2 linked regions of the Drosophila melanogaster genome follow. The protein of the gene in region 2 purifies or fractionates together with the protein of the main gene of each other region. This does not show direct contact. Each region holds a gene or a part of one and is shown on either strand. Other genes may lie near its edges.

The links.
Region 1: the proteins of akirin (region 2) and hyd purify together in Drosophila melanogaster (affinity purification with western blotting, with the first as the bait; one study listed by BioGRID). This does not show direct contact.

What each region holds. Positions count from the first base shown.
Region 1 is NT_033777.3:9,721,853-9,727,377, reverse strand, and holds the start of hyd (hyperplastic discs), read left to right. Parts: upstream 1-1,762; 5' UTR 1,763-1,852; coding exon 1,853-1,914; intron 1,915-2,700; coding exon 2,701-2,898; intron 2,899-2,961; coding exon 2,962-3,241; intron 3,242-3,300; coding exon 3,301-3,518; intron 3,519-3,578; coding exon 3,579-3,817; intron 3,818-3,879; coding exon 3,880-4,070; intron 4,071-4,157; coding exon 4,158-5,525. Other genes in the region: FoxP (forkhead box P), read left to right, coding at 365-808. UniProt on the Drosophila melanogaster protein: E3 ubiquitin-protein ligase which accepts ubiquitin from an E2 ubiquitin-conjugating enzyme in the form of a thioester and then directly transfers the ubiquitin to targeted substrate.
Region 2 is NT_037436.4:7,366,494-7,375,848, forward strand, and holds akirin (akirin), read left to right. Parts: upstream 1-3,349; 5' UTR 3,350-3,575; exon of another isoform or gene 3,576-3,691; intron 3,692-3,846; exon of another isoform or gene 3,847-4,057; intron 4,058-4,306; exon of another isoform or gene 4,307-4,532; intron 4,533-5,213; 5' UTR 5,214-5,341; coding exon 5,342-5,579; intron 5,580-5,669; coding exon 5,670-6,026; intron 6,027-6,087; coding exon 6,088-6,098; 3' UTR 6,099-7,218; downstream 7,219-9,355. Other genes in the region: Sh3beta, read right to left, coding at 1-23, 1,066-1,491, 2,397-2,441; SMSr (sphingomyelin synthase related), read right to left, coding at 8,101-8,622, 8,687-8,853, 8,912-9,355. UniProt on the Drosophila melanogaster protein: Molecular adapter that acts as a bridge between a variety of multiprotein complexes, and which is required for embryonic development and for normal innate immune response.

The DNA of each region.
Region 1 (5,525 bases), on a different chromosome or scaffold from region 2:
TTCCGTTTTGCTCTGTTAGTAAATATACATATGCCATTGCATGCATGCTCCTATATCGAAATGATATAATATGACATTATACGATCTTTTTACAGCGCAAATTGTAAACAGTGATTCTAATCTCTTAGTGGTAGAAACCCAAAATGATGTCCGTCTGCTCATCGATCTGTCTGTCTGTCTGTCTGGAATTTAGCTGATGAAGATTATCCAGGATTTCGCGTGTTATGAAAAATGAAAATAAGAAGACCGAAGACAAATGAACTAACCTTAATATCTCAATGAACTTTTTCTTCCTTTCACGATAATGCAATTTCCTGTTTCTGACTCTTGATGGGGCTCTTGTTTTGTCCAACCAATCATAAAGAATGCGATTCGTACGAACCTTTCCTTACACAAGTGCTTTGTACGTTATGAAGATGACTTTGGCTCGTTTTGGATGGTCGACGATAATGAGTTTGTCAAAAGGCGGCACTTGTCGAGAGGGAGACCCCGGAAATATGAACCGTCCTCCTCCCCAAATTCATGCCAATCCGGCAATGGTGTGCCCACTGATAAGAATCCCTGCGACAATTGTACGCAACATTGCACTAGTTTGCCACCGGGTGCTGATAATCCTCTAGATTCCAATAATCCAAATGATTTAGGCAGAATTGGTTGTCTTCCCTATTGCGGTAGTGATGGTTTAAGTAAAGCGTCCAAGGACTATAGCAATATGGACTCGGGTATGATCGAAAGTAACAGCCACTTGACAATCGATGAATATTCTACTAATATGTACGAGAGTAGTGCCAATGAGCACAATCGATAAATAATATATCATTAACTATACATATATTTAGATGCATTGTCGAGTAATCTGCGTTTGGTAAGAAGGTTCGGATTCGGAAATTATATCTGTACATACACATGGTTCTATGTATAATTTCCCAAATAGAAATGAAAAAATACTTTTAAAATAAATTTCACTAATGCTATAAAATAAACGAAAGAACTACGTTAAATTATTAAAGCAAAATTAATGTGTTTAAACTTGCTTTAATAACTCCACTTATAACACGATTTTAATATACGAGTACAACATATATGAATATTTTCACTTTTCAGCAAGGGAGAAAACATTTAAAAGCTATAGCTTGATAAAATTTTAACAAAACTGTTTTAAAAGTCACAATATGATTTTTTTTTAAGGAAACTATTTTCAGGTATACCTTCTGTTAAAAATCTGGACCCTTGAGAGCTTTAGATTTGGAAACTCCTTAGTAAACGTATATGCTTTTCTGCTGACTTATCTAATTTCCTTCTAATTTAAGATCATTAACGATACTCAGTGACCTAAATAAATTCCTCAAATATACAACAAAGTGAACAAACTGAATTTTATTTCTAGTTCCTAAGCAAACGGTTTACGCGACGTAAAAGCGGTTAAATCGGCTTCTCAAAAGTTTGTCAATCAAAGTTTTCTACCAATTCATTATTTTAAAGCGGTCTTTAGTATATTTTAGTATATTCTATTGGAGATTTTTTGGACTGCCACTATTTAAGGAAAAACAACCGATAAGAATGGACGCATTCGTGAACTTCTGTATCTTAAATTTAATAAAATATATACAGCCTAAGTACACATATTGTAGTCAATGTCAATTTAATTTGAAAGTAAAGTTTTTGTTTACCAATAAATTTGTTTGGAGAATGTATCGATACCGTCGAATTTTCCGGCAACCATCGATACAGTCGGGCGGCATCGGTTTTCGTCCCAGCTCTAGCCAGTACGGTCACTCTGAAAGTCTCTCAACGTTTTGTGACATGAAAATTCAACGAGGACACTGTGTACATGAATAGTTGAAAAATTAAAATGGTTTCCATGCAATTTGTTTTGCAACCGCTACCGGGCTCGGACGATCAGTTTATTGAAAGGTAAATATAATCCTCGCGTACCGCAATTACGCACATGTGAACGCGGAATTCCGTGTAATTGTGTACGTACGGCTGCATGTATTTGTTATGTGAAAATATGTAGGTACGCAGCTATATGTATACGCAGGAAGATATGTACATATGATCATTAACGTAAAACGCGAGCCACAGACACTGGCGGACTTACCTCATCTAGTGCCGTCCACGCGGTTCTGTAAACATTAGCCGCAGAATTTGCGAAATGCACTTGCGTTTCCCACTTTTCATCCACAATTAATTCTCTAACCATTCGCATATGTGTGTGTGTGCGAATGTGTGCGACATGTGAACGGTAGCATGTGTGAGTGCATGTGCATACATGCTGATTAATTTGTTCATATTTAACTATTTGTGCTGAGCAAACTATTGAAATGTTTATATTATAAGCTTCTCGAAAGAAGCTTGCAGAAGTCCATGCTTCCGACTAAAATGTACAATGTTACAAACATGTTTTCACATGCTTGATTTGTACATTATATTTCGCCGAATGTCGCTCTTTCAGCACATGGCATGAAATCGTTCAGCGTTTTCCATAACCCAAAACCTTTAAACGCCAAATAATCGTAACACCGGCTCTTTTTCTTCCTTGGTGATGTGCACTTTTCTTAGAAGCTTTAAATTTTCCAGTCGTCAATCATAAAAAGTCTGGCAAGGCCAGAAATCATCCATAAAATGCACCCTACGCTTAGGAGATTTAGAACATGCATCGACTTGCTCGTATTCTTAATACATTTTCTCCCATTTTAGGATTCGTGAAGTGTCGGATAAGGTGAACCGATTTGGTTATGGCAGCCATCGCATATTCGAACAGTTGAAAATTCCAGTGAAGGAAGTCGTCATTGGTCCCGCGCACATTGGAGTTTTACTGGAGGATGGCAAGGCATTCCGCGTGTCCTTTTCTATAAATTCTGAGAAACTTGACTTGACCAAATCAGACGCAAAATGGTAAGCTTAATGGTGTACCAGTTACATAGATTCGAATGTTTGTTGATTGATGTTTATTTATAGTTCCACCAGTGGTGGCAGCGGAACGGCCAGTGCTTCGAAAGCCCCATCCTCATCCCGACCGATGGCCCGCTCAAGAGCACGCCTGCTGCGCGCAACAGGTCGCTCCAATTCCACCGGACAGGGGTCCGGATCTCGTAGCACAGGGGTCATCATTGGAGGCAGTACATCGAGCCGACCCTTAGTAACAGTTCCGGCTACATATGTGCCGGAGGAGCTCATATCCCAAGCAGAGGTGGTTCTACAGGGCAAGAGCAGAAATCTCATAATTAGAGAATTACAGGTAAATTCATCGATACAAGAACATCTTATTCGTGTAATATCATACAATTCCCTCAATAGCGCACCAACCTCGATGTTAACTTAGCTGTGAACAATTTGCTTTCGCGCGATGATGAAGAAGCTGAAGATACCGAAGAAGGTGCCGATAATTACGTGCCCGAAGACCTTATCTCCCTGCTGGATAATGGGTTCAGTGGAGATAACAACAGCGTCATCATAGATCCCTCAGATGGGCTTTTCTCGGAGGAGATATTTAGCAACTACTCCAGCATTCGAAAGTAAGTAATTTTAAATAAACACAAAAACCGAATTAAACTTATTGTTTTACATTTGGCCAGCTTGCTGTTCGATCGCATTCGTAGTGAACGCAGTAATGCCAACGCAAATGCCGCAGACAGTAACCAATCGACGACCCGCTCAACAAGTTCAGGCACTGCCTTAACTGGTAACAGTGGACTTTCAGCTCAAATATCAGTTAATGCTGACCGCGAGGCTTTTAGTCGTTGGCGGGATCGTCAGTACTACGGACCACGACGCTGGATAAGCAAAGACGACTATACCTGGGAGAAGGATGCTGGTAAGTTGATAAAATGCAAAGACGATGATCCTCTTGCTACACTGACACCTACTTTAATTTAGATTCCAAGAAAAAAGAGCCATCCCCCATGTTGTCCCCCATTTGGATATCTGAAGAATTGCAGCCATGGCCAGAGAAAAGTTCCGTAAGGTTCAAGACCATAGGAGCTTTGTATTCGGAGTTCATTGCCTTGTCAGAGAGCGGAGATTTGTACCAGTGGCGCTGGTCAGATGCAGAGCCTTATAAGTCGGAGGTAAGGAAATAATATAAAATAATATAAACCAAAGTTTTATTGAAATCTTTACTCATACTTTAACTCATAATTTATCCTATTTTGCAGACTGAAAACGTTTATCATCCCAAAACTGTTTCCCTCAACATAGTTGAAAGAGTGGAGCTTATTTCGGCCAACTTCATCAGATGCTCCGTTGTTACAGAAACCAATCGAGTAGCAACTTGGATGGACGAGCAACTAGGTTACATCGGCGCCAAGCTGGAGCACAGTTGCTGCGCGTTTAACGAGTTTATATCGGACTCCATAACAAAGATCTACGTCTGCTCGCTATACACGGTTGTTAAGACCGAAAGCAACAACATATATTGGTGGGGAGTCCTGCCGTTTGATCAACGCCGCTTCTTGTGGGACAAATTCCGGACCAAGACCAAGAAACCCTTTAAGGTGGTTGCCACCGATATTAATGTGGGTGCTCAAGTGATAATGAAGAAGTGTCCCATGTATCAATCTGGATCAATCGGATTCACATGCTCCAATGGCGTCCCAAAGGTGGGGCAGCTTTTGAATTCAGTCTGGACCTTCACCGATGTGTGCCGCATGAAAATCATAAATATTAACACGAACTCTGGCGTAGACAAATCCCAAGCAGCCGGCAATAATCTTAATGCCCATGGAATTACTCCGGATAAAGATCTGCCAAAGTCCACGGCAATGCCCAGCACTGGAAGTAGTAAGAATGGACAATCCTTCTCAAACAGCAAGGAGTCAACAGATCGCATCGACATGCCACCTCCGCCTTCACCGGCATCCAGCACATGCAGCGACACCGGCAGCGTCACATCCCACAAGCGTACTAAGCGAGCTACTACGAAAGAGGACTCCAATGCCCCGCAGGAGGGAAGGAAGGATGAGGAGCTGTGGGAAGTGAAGGACGTGGTGTTTGTCGAGGACAAGGTGGGCCCAGTGGGAAAGGTGCTTAAGGTCGACGGCGACTTTGTTGCCGTTCGTTTTCCGGCAATAAATGCAGCAGCCGTTGCTGCTGCTGCTGCCGCAACAAGTTCCACATCTAACACAGCCTCCACATCCAAGGAAGAGGGCAAGGAGGACGACTGGCAGCAGTGTCGGCTGCTGAGACGCGAAGATGTCCAGATATTTCGCACTGCTATGTCCACCCGTGGCCCAGACTGGTTGCAAAAACAGCCGAAAAAGATTAACGTTGGTGGTGATGCAGCTGGCGCACAAATACTCACCCTGGCCGTGGACTCGCGCGGCATTCATGTGATCAAGAAGGTTCTCGGCAAAATCCACTACAGCCTTTACAACCTGTATAACTGCAAGCAGGAGCAAAATTGCCTATTTCCCACGGACTGCAACTCTTTTATTGGCTCCACGCCTGGCAACATATTAATGGCTTGCAACGACGACTGCAGCGGAAACAGCAGTACCATTGTGCTTCGTGATGGCAATGGAGCC
Region 2 (9,355 bases):
TCCTTGTCCTTGCCGTCTTCGTTCTTTAGAGAATCACTCAATTGTTAGTAATGTTTTTACATTACGAAACTGTTTCGAAAAAGTCGGTCTTTAAGGCAACAAAATTGCTCAAGAATATTGAAATTCACCATATTCCTGTACTTTTCGTGAAAAGTTTTTTTCGTCAAACCTAAAGACCAACTTTGGAAAATCTCTCTATAGATATTTGGTATTAAAAAAGCCTTTTTGTAAATTAAGTTGTCACATTCTCATTGTTAAACTAGCCGTTGATAAGTTGGTGTTAGAGTTTGAGTGTGTTGCATAGTGTTAGAAAAACAAGCTTGCGATTGGTTATAGTTTTTTTTTTTAGTTAATACAAATATATTTCCTTTTATTACAGGGGCAGCGCTTTTTTATGTTTTAGCATTAACATAACGGCTGCACAATAAATTTCAGCTCTCTACACTACTCCAACTTAGGCTTAAGTGCTCCGAGTAAGTATTCCGAGTCCTTATTACAGGTGTGTATAAATGGTACATACAAGTTGTTTGGATGTCAGTTAATGAATATAAATATTTTGATTAAAATTGTCTTTTCACCGGGGGCCAACACAATCGAATGCCCTCGTTTAAATACGCTCATGAACTTAGCTTAAGAACCGCAGTAGTCATAATGAATTCGTTAAAAATTGAAAGATCTTCGATTTCATGCTCTACCGATGAAGGTCTAAAAAGTCTCTAAATAAATCTCGTAGTTTTAAAAGTTAGTTTTGTAAATTTTGTATAATTTAAAAGGAAGATTGCACTTCATATTCTGCAATTATCTATACAACTCCCCCAAATCCCTATGGGCATAGAAATCGAAGACGGGCTCCATAAAATATTGATATATGTATGTAGAAAGTTGGTAGTATCTGTGCTGTTAGGTAAACATTGGGTGTTATTTCTGCTGTTAAGTGTAAGGGCTTTAGTTTCAAGACATTGCTGTTGTTGTTAATTCTATTGCTCTGCTGCAGATGATTGCTGGCTGCGTTTGTTGCGTCGTAACAGTTAACGGAAAATACGTGAAAATAGCTCAAGTTCAAACCTCGGCCTTCTCAGCAGCCTCCTCCTTGACATCCACATCGCCATCGCCGGCCTCCGTTTTCTTATCCTCCGCCTCCGTTTCCGCCTCCTCCTTCTTGGCATCGCCGTTCTCCTGCTTCAGTTCGATTTGGGCGGTACTAACTGCCGTGGTGTCGGCTGGAGCCAGCTTGAGGAACACCTCCAGGGTATCGATCTCGTTGGCCATGTCAAAGGCGTCGTAATCACCGCAGTACTCGTCGTCGTTGAACAGCTGCGGAGGAAGCGGATGACGGGGCTCTGGATCGCTGACCGTTCCACCGTTGCTTGTCGATTTGTTTTGCATCAGCTCCTTCTCGGATTCCTTGCCGGGCTCCGTGATGTCCACCGTGTCGTACTTGATGTTCTTGCTGTCCAGGATCATCAGAACGCGCTGCTGGCGCTTCTTCACCTGTAAAATTGGATTTCGACGGTCAGTGAAAGCATTTAAATTTGAAAAGAAAGTTAAAAATTAAAGTATATAAAATACCTTTAACATGTATCGTTTTGTTCAGTGTAGCTACCTTTGACAACGCTGTTAATTACAGCGATGACAAATCGCTAATGAAGTGTTACCGGCAAGCCCAAACGCACACAAGCGCACACAAAGCCAACTCCCCGCCGATATAAACATATGTACGTAAAAAGAACGCCAGAACCACGCGATATGATAAGGCTAATTAAAATGGTTTGTTGCACCCCAGCATTTATCTTACGATAAGAATATGTGTTTCCCAACGCTTTTTTAAAGTGTACAAAGACAGGACAAAAACAAATAATTGTGAACCGTACAATGACCGTTATGTTTTTGTTCTTATTGGAAGAGGAAGATTGCCAATTGAACAAAGGCACCGAAAGAGTGAGAGGGGGAAGTGAATCACCCCTCACGCATGTACACACACACACACATGCACACGCACCCACGCAACTGCGATCAATGGAAATCCCTCTCTTCCATGAACAATTTACAGTTCACAGTGGAATGAGCTTATATGGGCAATGAAATGTATGTTTGTTCTGCTTCTTGCCACCACTAACACTCGCACACAAGGGCACTCACGAAAATACCCACTTGTTTTTCTTTGACTGTACAGACATACAGACTTACATACCACACACTACATCATCATCATTGTCCAACTCACGTACATACACACAAAGACGAAACGCAGCAGAAGAAATAGAATTTGCAATGCGTTCGTCACCACTTTAGTTTGCTTCTTTTCCTTTTTATCTGTTTGTCGCTAATACCAGGGCCAAACATTCCAATAACATGACACTATTTCGGTTTTAAGCCCGCCACGCCCACAAACTCACCTCCTTATTGCCGGACATGCCGCTGACGTAGACTTTCAAGACCATTTTCGCAGATTACTGTGTCCTCGCACCGCAAATGAAATAATATTTTGCAACTAAAATCTGCTGGCTACTTTCACGGCGATTAAAAATATTTATAGATCTTTTCTTTTCCTGCTTTCTTCCGTCCTGCGCCCCTACGTAATGTTTTTCCACTGGTGACGAAGGCACACGCACTGGGCAAGGTCGTTGGTTTTATTGGCTGTAAAAACGGCAAAGACGCGGATAAAAAAATTGCCTGGCGACGCTTATAAAAGTGCAAAAATATTTGATATCAGGAGTGGAAAATATTTCCTACTTTGTCGTTGAATTGAATGGTGGGACCGCGCATTGACGGCTATAGAAAACCTTCCGGCTTATCAAATATACTAAATATGATGCTTGATTAAAATACTAAAAACTTTGAACTTAAGTGATATTTCAAAATTAAATATTTTTAAGACAACTTAAATTTTATTATGCTCCCATGTAAGGTTTTCATTTTTTAAACGTTCTTCGATTAATAATCGTAATAATAAAATAATAATTTATAAAAAGCATAAGATAGGCTTTTTAAGGTTTTTTAAAAGATAGAAGAAAAGGATTCTTATTATAGAACAAATTATTTTTAATTTGGCGTCGATGAGTTAGCGGCTTCAAGGAACGGTGGAATTTAGAACATGAGGGTGTTTTTTATTTATTAATTTTTTGTTACTTGGAGTTGAATTCCATAAAAATAAAAATGCAATAATGCTAACTTTCTACAAACGACTTAAGGTTATAGGACTCAAGAAAGTACATAGAATATGCAATTGAAAAATGTTCTCCCCAGACTTTTCGGTTATTTGAAGTTTTTGCTATATTTGGTAGAACCATAAAGTATTTTTTGGTATAGATCCGTTAGCAGGGCAACCAATATTAGCGGTCGCCATGCGGTCACTCTGTTCACGTCCCGTCACGCAAGCATCGTCGTCCATTTTTGCTAAGAAGCGAGACGAAAATTTGTAAATTATATCTAGCGAGTCGCCGAGGACGAACAACTATTGACAGTGCATTTCAGTGGCCTTTGGAATACTGCTCAAACAACCAGCAAGCAATAACATTACTTATATCTAACCGAAAACCTAAATTAATCACCCAAACTGAAGTACGGACGTGAATGTAAGTGGGTATGTGCCAGCGGACTAGTGGCACAATAAAAAAGTAAATAAAGCGCGTGTGAAGTGGTGCAGAAAGCAAAAAAGCAGTCGGAAGGAAAAATCAAAATACGCATTAATGTAAGTGCGATTGTTGGAAAAGCTGTTTAACTTTTTGTTCCTCTGAAAAGCTGATAATGATATGCGATGCGACCATTTTTAAAATTTCATGAAATCAACATTCCAACTCACAACGGTGTGCGTGTGCGTTTCTTTGTGTGCGTGCGTGTGCAGGCTAGAGTGGGACAACCAGTGTGATCGCTTTGGCTGCTGCCATTTCGTTTGCTTTTTTTTAAACTAATCTCTGGCATTTGTCACGTAAAAGAGTATAACGTTAAACCCAAAAACGTTTTGTATATGGCTTTAAATATTTAATAATTGTGGGCAGAGACAGCAACACCAGCAGCAGACGCATACACACGTGTTGCGGTTTATCGAGAGGGCAGTGTGCGTGTGTTAGTGCGGAAAACAGCTGGTACAGCTGCCGCTGCAGCGACGAAGAAGAAGAAAAGAAAGAAAGGGGAAGAGTGAGAAGAACACGCATTATTATCCTGCGTAGTTTTCTTTTATCGGTGGTTGTTCTGCTATTGGGTTACAGTTTACACTTTTCTCTGTTTTCTTTATTTTCCCTCTGCATTGCTATGCATTTTGCCTTTGCGTGGTGGTTTTTTTTATTTTCATTGTCGGTCGTCCTTTAATTGCGCTGCGCCACTTCGTTTCGTCGCTTTCTTTGGCTGGTTTCTCCTTCTCTTCGGAGTTTCTGGATTCGTATTCCGATTCGGTATCGCCCTTTTCCTGCGACAACAGCAGCTGGGTGCACGGTATCGGAGCTGTCGGCGATAGCCGAAAGAAGCTAGAAACCCCAAGGAAGCCAACATCCTTTTAATTGTCGTGGAAACTATAATAGTCTCATAAAAATTAGGTTTTTAAAATGGTTTTGTCATTCTATTCTAGAAAAAGCTATGAATATAAGAATATAACAATATGTTTAATTGCTTACTAATTTTATTGAACAATATAATTTAATCGTGACGAAATGGGGGAAAAAAAACATTTTTTTGTTGTCTTGAATTTTTTTTCCTCTCTTGTCATGATTATTTAGGTAAAACGGACGTCATCAAAGTCATTAAACTTACGCGAACTTCGCATTTAAAAGTTTTTTACTGGCATTTCTATTTTTAATAGCTTTCTGGGGAAAATATCGGATAATAGCTTTTCAAATTATGCATTGCTAGCAACTTTGACTAGCGAAAAGTATTTACTAAAAATTTTTGTACCTTCCTATTTTCGGCGCTCTTTTTAAGCAAAGGCCCTTGTTTTGTAGCGTTGAAGCCTCAAATTATTTCCAAAATCACGCCCCATAAGCGATAAGATAAGAGAGCGTACAATTGTTGCCCACGATACATACAAGGCGAGAAAAAGTCCAAATTGCCAGCATTGGCGGCCATAAATCGCTGCACCATTTTCTTTTATCGGCTGCGTGTGCGTGAGTGCACGCCTGTGAATCCTGTTTTTTCCTTGAAACCAGTTTGCGTCCGTCTTTTCTTTGCCAGCAAGGTGTTCACTTCACCTTACTCATTCATTGTTTGTTTGCCCATTGCAGCCGACGCTTGATCTTCCATCTGCAGCATCCATCATTTGGAATCGAGGCAATAATCAGCATCTACCGACAATCAAGCAAGCCATCTATCTATCAGAAGACCACCGGGTAGTAGAACCTCAATCATAGCGATGGCCTGTGCAACCCTGAAACGAGCCCTAGACTGGGAGTCGATGAACCAGCGGCCTCCGAAGCGCCGGCGTTGCAATCCCTTTGGCCAGGCTGGGAGCAATGCAGGTCCAGCGTCGCCATCCCGCGACGGTCCCAGCACCTCGGCTGGTCTGCCCCACACGCCCAGCAACCGATTCGCCAAGGATAGCACCGAACCTAGTCCGTTCAGTGAGTCGTCGCTGGCCAAAATGTCACCAGGTTAGTAAATCAGGTCGATGCTGGAAAAGGGACGTCGGATTCCTTTTATGCATATTACCTTAATACACCTTTCTTCTTTTCGAAACACAGACAAAATGGCCGAGAGCTTGTGCAATGAGATCAAGAGACTGCACAAGCGCAAACAGCTGCCGATCACTTCGTCGGCCTTGGAACGCATGCAGGATTCGGAGTCCAGCGGATCGGAGATGGGTCCAGAGAGTCCGCGCCGCCCGGACAGTCCACAGAACCTGATGCGCCACGGCGAAAAGGCCCTGTTCACGTTCAAGCAGGTGCAGCTCATTTGCGAGAGCATGATCAAGGAGCGCGAGAATCAGCTAAGGGAGCGCTACGAGTCCGTGCTGACCACCAAGCTGGCCGAGCAGTACGATGCCTTTGTCAAGTTCACATATGATCAGATACAGCGTCGCTACGAGGCAGCGCCTAGCTGTGAGTTCAAGTTACCATCGGTCATGGTTATAGTGCTAATTACATTATATTTTTATTTCAGACCTGTCGTAAAGCTGTGTACACAGCTGTAGCCTCAGAAAGAAGAAATTAATAATTGCACTACGATCTTATGTGACGGTAGATCTACCGCGACAACAACAGCCCTCATAAACTATAACAAACAACAAATAAGGAAACTAAAGCAAACGCAAAACAAACCAACAAAAAAAAAAAACCTAAAAAGCAAAAAACCTAAAAACAAACAAAAAAAAAAAAACAAACTACAACATACATCGTGTTTAATATATTTTGAAATACACGCGAAGAAAACGGTTATAGTTTATGCCTAGATTTACATATATATATTGTATCGGTTAGCAGCAAAGGGATGAATTATTTAAAAGCAAGCAAAAACCACAAAAGAGAGAAACCAACAAACCAACTTGTTAAATTTATGTTTTTCACATAACGCAAATTCTAAATAAAATGACAAATATCAAATTATGAACTATATGAACTATAAGCACACCGCCACTGCAGACATATACATATGGGTGCATCCGTAGAGAGAACGATTCAATGAAACCTCAAACGTAGCTTCGTACATAACAGACCGACAGAATTGGCAAATATATAATGTTAGGCACATGATGTAGCATATAAGGTATGATGTAAAACCTATCAAACTACATATATTGTTTTTTTGGAAATTGTAATTTATGAAGCGAAGCAACAAAGATAACTCACAACTCATGAAGAACACTTTTCATAGTTTATTTTTGCATATTAGTTGTAACACTAAGGCGAGAAACGAACGCTTGAATTTGCCTATTTTCTCGAGTATCGTTTGTTAATTGTTTCTTCCTTTGATGCGAATTATTGCAAAGTAATGTAAACACACAAAACAATTGAAATGTTTCGATTTGCTTTACACCATACAAAAATGAATAACGAAAAGAAAAGGCAAACAACAAAAAAGGTATAAAAGTTATTCATTAAGTTAAATTGAACGCTTTCTTATAAAATACGCTTGACAGAAGATGTTTCATGTTCATTGCAATTATTTTTTCACACCTTGAAGAATATATACGAGAATATATGATATATATATATATATATATTTTTCAATTACCGCAATCATACATACTACTTTATATTAGTAATTTAAACTTAAAATTAGTAAAGAAATGCCATTTTTATATTAAAACAAACAAAAATAAAATGATGAATTGTAGATGCCCGCTGGTCTTTTCTTTTTAAAGCTTTTTATTCTGTTTGTGAAGCGAACTCTTAATTTCATCCGTTTATAAACCACAATATTCTTTTTTTTATACCAACCCGTATTATCCGAATAAAACTCAATTGGTTCTGGTTGCTCCAAATCCAGCTAATGCTAAATGATTAACCAGGTTTTTCAATATAATTTGCGAATCTAGCAAAACTGCCATAGGTGGGGAAAAGACTGAGCAAAATGAGAGATACCTTTTGTGCAAAACTTTCCATTTGTGAATAAAATTATGAATAACCTTTACAGTGGCTTCTCCAGACTCTGAGAATATTCATTTTGATTTATTTAATGTGTTTGTGCGTTCAACAGAAACTTTCCAAACTTAACACTAGTTAACTAAAAATACGCTTGATTCACATGCTTACAATTACATAATAATGCATTAAAAAGTCTTCAATAATAAATACATTTAGTTCAAAACTCAATTGAACGGAATGAGGAGGGCTATCTTATCATCATAATCAATTCAAAGCCGACGTGGAGCATCTCCCGGCTAAAAAAAACTTCGATATTCATAAAATTCCACAAGTAAACTAAGGAAAGGCTCTTGGGGGACACAACGACTTTCTAAATGGTGGGTGGATGATCTGGGGGGATCTGACCCGGAAGGCACTACAAATGGTAGAATGCTGTCAATAATACAGGGGAGAGCTGTGAAAGGAAGGGGATCGATGGAAATTTCGAAATAAAAATATCAGTCGGTATGGTTAGTTTCTGCATGTTTGCTTTTCGAAGAGCGACATCGATATCGATATACGAATGTGGAAGAGCGAATGGCTGTGAGAATCAGAGATGCTTCTTTTCCTTCATCGGCGAATCCTTGACGTTTTCTGCCTGCTGGACCGCAGCGAACGTCGTGCGCGAAAAGGGATCCACACTCGCATCCCTGAAGGTCTTCTTTTGGGTCGGCAAACTCTTGGTCGGCGCCGATGTAGCTGGTGTGGGTGTGGAGGACCCGGATTGGGCGCTATTCAAATGCGTCTGGCTCCTCTGACCACCCAATCCTCCGATCAGCGACTGGTGAGGACTAAAGAAAGCGGCCGATGCTGTGCCATTGCGCAAACATTGTTCAGATTCTCCGCCAAACATGTGAGCCGATGAATTGCCGGACAGCGGGGCATCCAGCCAGCAGCGCTTCACGGATATGGCCAATTGATCCTTGGCCTTGAAGATCTGCTCAATAATCCCATCGATGAGGGAGCCAAGTGTATCGTATTCATTGGGCACCATTCCATCGACACTGCTCTCGAAGTAGCTAAACATGGGAAACCAAACACGCGTCCTCTTGGAGTCGCTTTGCATGAGAGCCTGTGGAAATAAATTATTATTAGAATGCCCTTTCTAAACAAAAACGAAGCTGTTAAATGCTCACCCTGTTATTTGCTAGAGTATGATAGTACAGAAACAGACGTGAGGTGATATAGAAGGCCACAAACACATCGATGGAGTAGTGCTCGTGGGCAGCCAGGATGAAGAATATGCCAAACATGTTGAGCAGCCAGGTCAGCGTGTGCAGGAAGTACAGATTCCGCGGCGTGTCTGAAAGATCAGAGTGTAAGTCAGTAAGCAGCATAGGAAATATAAATAAATAACACACATTCTGTGATAAAGAAGTTGAGCAGGGTCAAGGCCACCGTGTGACCACTAAACATATAATCGCCGCAGGTCCGCACTCCCTGAATGGACATGCCCAGGCCGCTCCAGATGCGATAGGCTCGTGACATGCGGATAATCAAGGCGCCCACCATGTCCACATTGGGATCATCGATGGCAAAGTCCTTCTGGCTGCACTGCAGATGCGTTCCCGGTACGCTCAGCGACGTGATCAACATGGTGACGCAGCGCAGCAGGAAAACCGTGCCCGCCAGAGCAAAGAATCGCCTCAGTAGGACCAATCTATACTTGTGGAAGGTTAGCACGACCACCCAAATGGTGAACAATAGTGAGCCGGTTATTTCGCACATATTAAAGGCCCACGGAATATGCGGCACGTTGTCCAGGAAGATGTCCGGCAGCGGCGGATAGCGCTTCATATCCGGAA